Bombyx mori: one gene and its partners. The main gene of each other region encodes a partner of the protein of the gene in region 2 in a complex. Links are inferred from orthologs where the notes say so. Each region holds a gene or a part of one and is shown on either strand. Other genes may lie near its edges.

What was found.
Region 1: the proteins of splicing factor 3B subunit 3 (region 2) and Phf5a are in contact, whole or in part, in a crystal structure (PDB 7B91), measured with the Homo sapiens proteins. The link is inferred for Bombyx mori from reciprocal best matches to the Homo sapiens genes SF3B3 and PHF5A. Residues at the interface, in NP_036558.3 of Homo sapiens: Gly85, Arg86, Gln104, Glu105, Thr106, Phe107, Gly108, Lys109, Ser110, Leu140, Ile154, Ser155, Ser156, Pro157, Glu159, Ser1162; in NP_116147.1 of Homo sapiens: Gln14, Ala15, Gly16, Val17, Arg44, Asp47, Glu79, Asp81, Arg82, Asp83.
Region 3: splicing factor 3B subunit 3 (region 2) and probable ATP-dependent RNA helicase DDX46 share a complex: the UniProt entries of both Homo sapiens proteins name them as parts of the 17S U2 SnRNP complex. The link is inferred for Bombyx mori from reciprocal best matches to the Homo sapiens genes SF3B3 and DDX46.

The regions. Positions count from the first base shown.
Region 1 is NC_085114.1:14,383,708-14,387,260, forward strand, and holds Phf5a (PHD-finger 5A), read right to left. Parts: upstream 2,154-3,553; 5' UTR 2,099-2,153; coding exon 2,047-2,098; intron 1,973-2,046; coding exon 1,782-1,972; intron 1,339-1,781; coding exon 1,249-1,338; 3' UTR 632-1,248; downstream 1-631. Other genes in the region: ATP-dependent RNA helicase DDX47, read left to right, coding at 3,431-3,550.
Region 2 is NC_085117.1:14,811,739-14,815,395, forward strand, and holds part of splicing factor 3B subunit 3, read right to left. Parts: intron 3,583-3,657; coding exon 3,108-3,582; intron 2,880-3,107; coding exon 2,722-2,879; intron 2,328-2,721; coding exon 2,151-2,327; intron 1,921-2,150; coding exon of another isoform or gene 1,901-1,920; exon of another isoform or gene 1,874-1,900; intron 1,768-1,873; coding exon 1,460-1,767; intron 1,163-1,459; coding exon 1,007-1,162; intron 813-1,006; coding exon 628-812; intron 439-627; coding exon 272-438; intron 1-271. UniProt on the Homo sapiens protein: Component of the 17S U2 SnRNP complex of the spliceosome, a large ribonucleoprotein complex that removes introns from transcribed pre-mRNAs.
Region 3 is NC_085109.1:10,027,745-10,031,501, reverse strand, and holds the start of probable ATP-dependent RNA helicase DDX46, read right to left. Parts: upstream 2,431-3,757; 5' UTR 2,219-2,430; coding exon 2,205-2,218; intron 2,087-2,204; coding exon 1,859-2,086; intron 1,676-1,858; coding exon 1,534-1,675; intron 618-1,533; coding exon 428-617; intron 227-427; coding exon 117-226; intron 1-116. UniProt on the Homo sapiens protein: Component of the 17S U2 SnRNP complex of the spliceosome, a large ribonucleoprotein complex that removes introns from transcribed pre-mRNAs.

The DNA of each region.
Region 1 (3,553 bases), on a different chromosome or scaffold from region 2:
TAATTTATTATTAGTACCAACAATTCGATGTTTTTAGTTAAACTTCAATTAAGTTTACCCCATTCAAATAGTTGAAGAAGTTTTTTGTTATTATATTTTTTCCAAATGTTACTTTAGTTTAAATGGCTCTCCTGTAGTTGCAAAAATGTCGCTTAAACCAAATAGCCCCCTTCACCCCTCGATATAATAGTTTTCTCATTCAATACCATAACTTTAAAATATTTGCTTGACCACCTAATTCATTGTGTAATTATATAGTGTTACTGACTAGTACTATATAATACTACTAGCTGGCAAATGTTGTTTTACCATATAAATTATTTCTAGGAAAGATAAATAACCTAGATACCGACTGCAGCGCCCTCTGCTGGGTTGATTTGTGAATCTAAACCATCCAGGGTGCCACCCAAATGCATACAAACACAATCATTCAAATCAGCACAGCCGTTAAGGAGGAGTTCAGTGACACACACACGCACATAAGAAATATATATATATAAAGATATAATATAGTCCAGGTATGTGTAATTCCCGGATAGTCAAAAGATATTTGATTAGAAATTACTTAGTTATGTTTGGTTGTTTCCCAGACCCATGACGAAGGAGAAAATGGTAGTGTAGGGCCATTAAATGTGTAATACCAATGCATTTATTAATAATTACATAATGTCTTAATGTAAGTACACACTAGAAACATAGTTTTCAAAATATGACAGACAACATTCACACAGTACAATCACTCTCATTACATACATGAATATTGCTAACATATTGTCTGTAGTTTTACAGAGCACATGGTAGTCAAAAATATCTTTATTGACAATTTAGTAGAAAAATAAAAAATAAAAATGAATCTTAATAATTTAAATGCAAAAACTAAATGTATTTTTCAAGTATTTTCTTTCTAGTTGGAAAATGAAAACTAATCTGCATTGAATAAACAAAGGATAAAAAAAATTGTAAAAAAATAACAGATATCATCGATAACAACAATCCAATTGTATAAATGAATGAATTTAAAAAAATATATGTGAATTTCTCTTGGACCCGAGCTGCAACTCTTTAGACATTGAAAACCATACTTGATCATAATAGCCGTTGGCTTTAAAAAGTCAACAACAAAGTAGTTGATAAAAACAAACTTGTATTTCAATCAAACTTTAGTTGAGAAAAACCTCTGTTTTTATTATTTTAAATAACAGAAACTTTGCAGAAATTAATATTTAAAAACTAAAAAGAAACCTAATGCTAGTGTCTCCTAAACCCATATTTCTTTCTCTCGTAGAACAGATCTGTTTTAGAGCTTCCCAAATTGACAATCTTTGGACAGCCATCTCTCTGTGAAAAATAACAATTTTATTAGCATAATAATATGTATTATTATTATTATTATTATTGTTATCAGCGCACAGACGTCCACTGCCATCGTCCATCGGTCCATCTTGTGGGAGGCCTACCCACGCTACGTCTTCCGATACGCGGTCGCCACTCAAGAACTTTCTGGCCCCAATGGCCATCTGTTCTACGAGCAATGTGTCCTGCCCAATGCCACTTCAATGCCACAATCCTTTTGGCTATACATTTTATTAGGCTTGGCTTAATGTACATGATATTGGGGACGCACACAATCATTATCAGGTCACTTGATCAAGTCAGGTTGACTAGTTTCTTGTGAGTTTTTAAACTATCAAAATATAACGATGTTTTTTGATTTGAGGAAATTTAAATTAATGATTTCGATGCGATTATTTGAGTTCAAAAATTACAAAATTAAAACTTACATCCTTCTCCTGTATCGTGCACTCCTTACAATAATAAGCATCAGATACTCCAGGCCCGCCGCAAATCACACATCGCCCCTGATACGAGCCATAGTTGCACTCGTCACAAATACGAACCAACGTGCACGGACGCACATAAGAATCGCAAATCACACATTTTCCGTCACATTTCTCACATAAACGTCCAATAGCTGGAAAAATAAGAAATAGCATTAAAACAAGCGACACTAAACTTGGTTGTCTTCCATTTTTTAATACTACTAACCGACTCCGGGCTGTTTCCTGCAGAAAATTAAATCTGGATGATGCTTTGCCATGTTTTTAGTTAGGTCTGGTCTGCTGGCGAATGTTCTTTGATTGTTATTATCAAACTTGCCGTTTACTGTTTTTTTATCGAATAACCTACAAAGATTTTGACGATTTTGACCCGGTAATTTTGACAAGTGGCACCATAGATATATTTTTTTGTTACAATTTTTCCTTATTAGGAAAGGCAAAGGGATCTAAGCCCATACCGCCTCATTTGTTCTATATAATTTCTGATATAAATTTATAATAAAGCCAAAGCCAGGTCTTATAGGATTTAAATTATATGAGTCGACTATTATCAAAGCCGGCAATCTGACTTTTGGACAATGATTGGTAAATCAGAAAAAACGAATTATTGACTTTGTATTCCATTGGCAGTCACAAAACTCTTCGGAACGACATCTTAGATAAATAACAGGTTAACTATTAACCTTTATTTAATGCAGGTTTTGAACCGTATTCTTTGAAGGAGACGATTATATTCAAAACAATCTGTATTGACATATCAATAATTTTTTTTTGTCCAAATGCACAGATTGCCACCTTTGATAATAGACGACTCATATCCTGAAATAAAAATTTCATTAAGGCCGAAGCCATGTCCTATAATTTGGCACCATAGATAAGTAGTAGTAGTAGTTTCATTTTTCCAAATGGAAAGGCAAAGGTATCATAGCATACAGCCTAACCTTTTATATATTTTTTTTTATTTTATGAAATATGATACTATGAAATGAAGTGTATTAATTTATGAAACATGGCATAAAATGAAATGAGATGAGATGATATAATATGGGGTATTTTTATGGAAAACGATAATATGAAATGAAATGAAGATGATTAATTTGAGACAACAATCAACTGGGATGAAATTAAATGAAATGAGATGAGATGATATGGGATGAAATATAATCTCAGTAAAATGGTGGTCATTTACTGAGATTTTTTCAGTGGACTTTTTGGAGGATCCCGAGAAGTTACGTCCAGTGGCTTTGTTTCATTTTCCCACATTTGTGCACTGTCACAGATATTAAACAGTTAATAAACCACCGTTATTACACATTTAAACCTGAAGAAACACTAAATAGACAAAATAAAACAAATCACACAACTTCACTCCTCGCGTTCCCACCAAAAAGTCTAATTGCCGGTTTGCGATCGGTCTTAATTGTCAAGTATACTTTTGACAGTTTTACTTCTTTGGTGACACATACGTCACATATTATATGTGATAGATTCAGAAATCAGAAATCAGAAATCAGCATACCCCTAATTCAAACACATGCTTTCAATATTCGCGTCTTTTTTGTATTCCCCAAAACAATGATAATTTAGAGAAAATGACTGCAGACAAGGAAAGCTATGGAGACGAAACCAACCAGGATAGTGAGGTGGAACAAACTCCAACCGAAAATGTCAACGAAGATACTGAAGATGATAAAATAACATTTAAGGATTTGGTA
Region 2 (3,657 bases):
AAATTTTATTTATTAAAATATAATATTTACTTATTTAATATTTATATGTCCACGGCATGGTTTTGCCGCCTTCACAGTCGAAGTGACTCCAGCTTGGCTATGGAATATGCCGAGTGCCACCCTCTACCACAAGGGGAAGGCGACATGCTCTACGACGTTGTGGGCTCATCACTGTATGAGACAGCTACACACCACTCTTGCTTGGCTTCACCTGCAAAGGTAAGGCCAGGCAAACACGTCGATATTTTAAACAGTAATTTTTATTTCTTACCTGAACTAAATCCTGCTGCATATTCCAAACATTCATAAGATAGAGGTGTAAGGTGAAAACGATTTTGATAGTGATATCCTAGCCATGTTCTAGACGACACAGCTAGTACTGCTTCAGCAGCTTGTACCCTTACTTTAAATAACTTCACAGGTCTTGACCCCAAGTATCTGCAAAAAAAAAAACCAACTTAAAATATGATCATTTTCAAAATTATGTTTTCATAGTAGTAAGGGCTCTCAGATCTGGTTAATTACTCATCAAAATTTTCAGATGAAACACGGAGCGATTACAATTGTTAACATCATTGGCTTTTACAATAAAAGAAGTTAGTAATAGTGATTTGATTAATTAATTACCTAGTTCTAGTGTCTGCAAGATCACCGCTTACAGAATCTAAGGTAGTTCTTAACAGCACCCCGTTGCTTAAGCCAATGTTTAAATGCAGGGCAGATTTTGCACCAGATTCAAATGGTTGCTCAATAATGCATAATGATTCTGCACCAGCAGGAAGAGCTTGCATAGAACGTGGTGAAAGACAGTCCTGAAAGAAAAAAAAATCTATATTTTTTGAATTTTTTATGCTTAAGAGTTAACTGTATAATTTTTTAAACATTCAGTAATTTGAGAATAACGCTTTTTTGGGATGTTGTAATCACAAAAATCAGTGGTGTCCTGGTGTCATCATTCCAATTATTGCTATTGTATGTGGTTATTATGGTCACCAGAAATACTTACTGCTGGGTCCAAAGAGATAATTCTGACAGTGTTATCATTGAGACCAACTGCTAAAAACCATGCTCTCTGTTCCCCTGCTGCAACTGAACCTAATGCCATACAACAAACATCTGAAGATAATTTCTTTCTTTCTGTGTATTCATTGAGCTGTCCAGTCTGAAAAACAAATTTTATTTGAAATATGTGTTTTACTAACAAACATTTAAGATTAGTACTTTTAAGAATGTCCACAGCATGGTTTTGCCGCGTTCATAGTCAAAATGACTCCAGCTTGGCTATGGAATATGCCGAGCGCCACCCTCTACCACAAGGGGAAGGTAACATGTTTTACGACGTTGTGTGCTCATCACTGTATGAAAGACAGCTACGCATCACTCTCACGCGGCTTCACCCGAAGGCAACGCCACGCAAATACGTCGAAAAAGGGTTTTTCGATGTTTTGTATTTACTTACAGGGTCCATTTCGAAATATACCAACTCCCCTCCAGTTAGGGCAATGACGACTTGTCTTTGATTGACTGCACATCTGACTATAGATTTTTTTCCAGGAGCCTTCCATTCATTTACACGTTTGTCAGCACGAATATGTCTTATACCATCAGGATATACTTGTACTAGAGCGTCATTACCCATTGCATGACAACTAAGTGTAGGTGTAGTTCCCAAAAATCCTGAGTCAGTGACTTCTTCAACAGTCTCACCGATGGAAAGAACAAGTGTGGCATTAACGAATGACACAATGATGTAAGAATCGTATTCCTCTGTAACCAAAGAAAATTGAAAGCTATTATTATGTTCAATAAGTAACTAAGAAAATTTTGTTGATGGCGATGTTGATCTTCAGTGTAGATAACTTGCTCTGCCTACCTGTTCGTCATGCTGAACCATGTCTGTTCACCTGCCGTTAGTAGATTCTGAAAAGAAAAACCACTGGTGTTTATGTTTGACAAACAACCAGGGTTTTATTAGTAACTTGTTGATAAAAGGGAGCATTCATAAGTGGTAGTAGTAGAGTGGCGTCACAGTTTATCAGTAACACGGACCAAAATTATAATCATTATGCTCCTGTACTTCAATCTCGACAGTTTAATTATTTAATTTTAGAGCTCCCTGAAATAATGAAACAGAGTAAATTAATACTCACCATCTTTATTTCGTCGAACTGTCCAAACAGCATTCGGTGATCCTGGAAGCTCTGATACAGCCATTTCAGCAACTTCAAGACCATGTCTTAGTGCTCTAAGGGAGGATCGTGGGCCTCTCCCACATGCCAAGTAAACTTGCGGAGTATCTTCCCCAGCTAAATCTGCCACATGGCAAGCTGGAATTTTTATTAATCAATTATATATATATACTATTTTTTATTTTGAGGACTCCTCATTAAAACATTGAACGCCATGCGGCCCACTGGTGGGCCTAGCTTACTATACTATTTGAGCCAAGGCAAAATTAGAGAATCTAACTTTTATCAACTTGAGATTTTCATTATAAAATTTATATAATGCAATAATTTGCACGGAACATAGGACTTTAAACTGCAAATTTCTATTGATTTGAAAACCAAAGCGTTTGGGTTCGGCTTAATAAGAGTTTTGTTTGATAGCTGCAATGAGTGGCTTGTAGGAAAGCCTCCCGCGGCTCACGGGTGACCCTCGTGGCCCGAACGGTCAGTAAGATAAGGCGCACCAGTGATGCGTTCAATTGCTACTACTTACCTAATATTGGTGACAAAGAATCCATTTCATCTACCAGTACTAAATTCCTCAAAGGTCTTGGTGCAAAAAAGAATGTGTCGCCCTCTTCTAGAGGCATAGCAGAGCTAAATTCTGGTTCATCATCTTCATCACCCAAATGTGCTATCTGATATAAGTAGCTGAAATTTATGTGTATTTTAGTAATTTATCATTCCTAAATAGATGTACAGCACACATCATAAACTTAGTATGTACATCCTATATCAGTGTGCACTCACCCCATAACAAGGGAGGACCTTGGTTCAAGGATAAATTTCTATAGCATGAAGTAATTCTTAAGAGTACAAAATGAGTTTATACTCACTAGCACTTATGCAACGCAAATATATTTACAAAAGTATACTCACTGGTTGCCAAATTCACAAGCCACAAACAAAAATCCAGTTTTAAGAACACACATTGATGTTGCCACTGGTACAGTGTCAAAGTATTTCAGCTTTATTTCAGTGACCATATCTTCATCAGTTTCTATAGTTATTTTGAAAATATCACCCTGTTCAGTTTGTGCCAAAAAGAAAAACATGGACTTAGTTTTATGCGTGGCAGAACAAACAAAGATCATTCCTCTTTCTGGATCATCTAAATCATTTCTTCTGCGAGGTATAGGACACCTAATATCATGTTGATCACCCAAATTTTTGTATGTGAGATAATTTTCAGAGCATATAAGGACACCAGAAGGACCATCATTTCCTCCAGGCACAGTTATGAGAAAGTTTGCATGCTCTTCTAAAGGTTCAGAGTACTTTCTAACAACATGATTCAAACCAAGATCTAATTCGTAAAATGTTAAAGTCTGTTGAGTTTTTTGTGCAGCTTCGCCTGTGGAAGATAGTCATGATTGATTTTCAAAAGTAAAGATAAGACTTATTTGTGTGTTAATTTAAAAATCATACA
Region 3 (3,757 bases), on a different chromosome or scaffold from region 2:
CGTGATTTAAACATCGACATCGTCACATTGGTTGATACAAGTACACCAGACATCGTATCTTTTTCGTCTTCCTGACGACTTCAATTTTTTCAAATAAAATAACTCTATTAACTTACTTGTTGCACTTCTTGCATGTACGCATCCAAAGGATCAATTTCATCTTCTTCTTCTTTCTTTTCTCCTATATTGTTTTTTTCTTTTCCTTCCGCATCTTCACCTGGCAAAGCTGTTAGATTATTTTAACATATGATGTGTTTCTTTTTACACAAAATATTGAGTAGAGGTATTCAGAAAAATCACTTTCTTCACACATTAATGCAAGATTATGAAAAAAAAAACGTTTAATTTTTAGCCAATAAGTTTTCCATGTGTGTGTGAATCTTAAATTTTGGTAAATGATGAATAGATTAGGTTTTGTTTTACTGACCTTCATCACCAGAGTCATCTTCAAGTGACCATTTCTTTGATGTCGGTATTTGTATATTAGTAACAATGCTTCCTTTTTGAACTTCTTTTTTAGCGGATTCGATTTCTTTACGTTTACGTTCAGCCCTCCATCTCTCTATGCGTTCACGACGTTTTTGCATTTCAGCTTCCAAGCGGTTTTGCTCTTCTTCCTACATAAATAATCAAATAAAATGAATAGTAAGTTTTGGCTTCTGCTGCTTATTACACCAGGCAATGAATTGCCATATGATATTAAGCTCTTGTGAAAGAACTACCTAAAGCCTCTAACACCACACCTCAGATGCTTGCCTGTCTCAACAAGGATACTAATCGTAGTATGTGTTAGTGGCTAAGTTTTATTGGGCCATCTAAGATCAAATGAGAATTATCACTTTACGACATTAGCAGCACTCCATTGACAAAGAGATTTCATTGCATGTATGTTTGTAGTTATTATGTATTTTTGATACGTAAATTCTAAATATTCAGTTAAAAGTTGAATGTTGATATAATATAATGCCAAACTGCTTCTGCATCATCTCAAACTCTTACCTAATCAGACTCTTTATAACATTTGCTAATTCATACAGTACAATACAGTACAAACATACAATTTACAGATATTTTATATTTTCTTATTTACGCTGTACCTATCTGTTGTATATGATTTCGATTTTTTGGGTCTCATTTATTTAGCAACAATGCATGACTCTCCTTATTACATAATACAATATACATTTATAAATATGTAGCCTTAAATTGTACATAAGCAAATGCAAAGTAGATGATGTGAAAGCATAAAAAAAAATCAAGTTTTTTACTTTAACTGTGAAGTTATGTATTAAAACCAATACATTGACAAATTTGCAGCTTTTATAGCCCAATAAATATTTCTTCACTAATCACTTCCAACACTATTATACCAGATTGCCACCTATGTTTCTCTGTTATTCAAAGCCCACTGGGTATCAGTCAAATTAAGTTTTTATCCAGATTGTATCTTAGAACTCAACAATTTTAATAAACATTTCAGCAGTTGTTTCAACTGTGTTATTGTGAAAATAAGCAACAACTTAACAAACAAACCTTGTCAACAGAGCCCGGGTTATATTCAGAAGAATCAGCTTTGCTACTCTTTTCCTTTGATTTTGATCTCTCCCTTTCCTTCTCCGGTGACTTCTTTCTCGATGATTTACTAGATCCATTTCTTTTATCATCTCTTTTATCACTGAATGAACTTAGATAAATTAGCAACACGCCTCAATTTAGCTTTAATAAAACATTTTAACAAAATGTATTATTTGAATAAATATAATTTTATAAACTGTACTAACGCTAACAAAAGAGTCTTGTGACTTAAATTAAAATATTTAACTTTTTATTTTGAGGTTATTAATTACTCAAAGTTTACCTTTTTCTGTCCCGATCTCGCTCACGACTACGATCTCTTTCCCTACTGCGATCCCGTTCTCGGCTTCGGTCTCGTTTAGAGTCACGATCTCTGCTACGACTGCGCTTCCTCTTTGAAGATTTCGAGCCCCGATCACGACTTCTTGATCTTGACCTCCTTCGTTTACGATCCGGTGTGTCAGAACGACTTCGAGATCTACGTCGATCCCTTTCCCTATCACGGTCTCTCCTAAAAGAAACAAAATTGTATTGTGAAAACTTTCGAACGCTAGCACATATTGAATAAGCTTCAAGAACGTTTACAGGTTAATGATTCAAGTAGTTCGTTTACAAACATCGACACTCACCCACTCCTAACCATTTTTTAAAGCAAATATAAAGAGATTTTTACACGTTTTATTTTTCTCATGCCTAAATCAACGGTGCCTTACTTAATACTAATAAAAGATTCTTGAAACAAAATGAGCTGTGAAATTTGGTTCGATTGCTATGAGATAAAAGTACGCATAACAAAATCACAAAGCGCTCGCTTGCATCCACGGATTCTACATTTGACAGTTGACTTTTTAATTTATTTATTTTTAGGGATTTTATGACCTGGTAACCAAGACCTTTAAGTCGTGTCTTCTTTTAATTTATATTTTTATTTTTATAAAAAATGATAATATAGAGTGGAATGAAATAAAGACAATTAATATGAGACTTTAATCAGCTGGGATGAAATTTAAATGAAAGAAGATGAGATGCTAAGGGATAAAATATAATTTCAGTAAAATGATGGTAATTTGCTGAGTTTTTTTCAGTGGACCTTCTGGAAGATCCCGAGATGTTATGTCCAGCGACTTCATTTCATTTACCCACATTTGTGCACTTTCACAGACATTAAACAGTTAATAAACCACCGTTATTATACATTTAAACCTGAAGAAACACTAAATAGACAAAATAAAACAAATCACACAACTTCACTCCTCGCGTTCCCGCCAAAAAAAACCTTGACTTTTTAATAGGTTGATAAAGATTGCTAGATTGAGTTTCTAAATTTACCTGGATTAAAATTTTCATATCTTCAAAATATAACATTTTGCAACCAAGCAAATCGAATGACAAAAATCGGTTTATTAAGAAAATTAACTCATATAATTTTTTTAACCAATACTGTCTAAGCCTATTCGTTGCAAATTTTACAATCGAGCTGAATTGACTTTCCGATGGGATGAAAACCTAACAGTAGTATCTCTTGGCCCACCACACGCTAATCTAACCATCTACTTTGATAAATGTGGCGAAAGTCTCAAAATACTGCTACACAGATATACCTACTCTTCAAACCTCGAACGTTTCGCGACAGAATTATCTGAGCTTTACGCATCTTACAAATTCTGCTAAACGTCGATTCCGTATTTAAAAAAAATGTGGTTCGGATATTACGTCCCACTCTATATCTAATGATCCAACAGCTTACTACTCGACTCATACCATCAGCCTTTAGCGGTTGATATCGACTTTAAGCTATGCAGATATTGGCTTGCGAGTAACGTGAATATCACTGTTCATCTTAAATTTAATTTCCACAAAGGTGGTTCAAGTTCAAGATTTAAGCAGCAGTAAAATTAAAAAACGTAAAAAGTCGATAATTGAAACCTTTAAAAAAATCATCGACTATTTGAAAATAGAGAGAGTTTAGTACCGAGACAACACTATTCATGGATGTTTTGTGTACAAATCGAAACACGAAAACCAAAAGATAACCTAATACATTCAACCGACATCATTGAAAATACAATTTAAAAATAGCGACTACTTTAACAAGACATAAAACAAGCTATTTTCATAACAATATCTAGAAATGGCAGACGATACTGAAAATGTAAGTGTTTGATTTAAAAATTTAAAAACA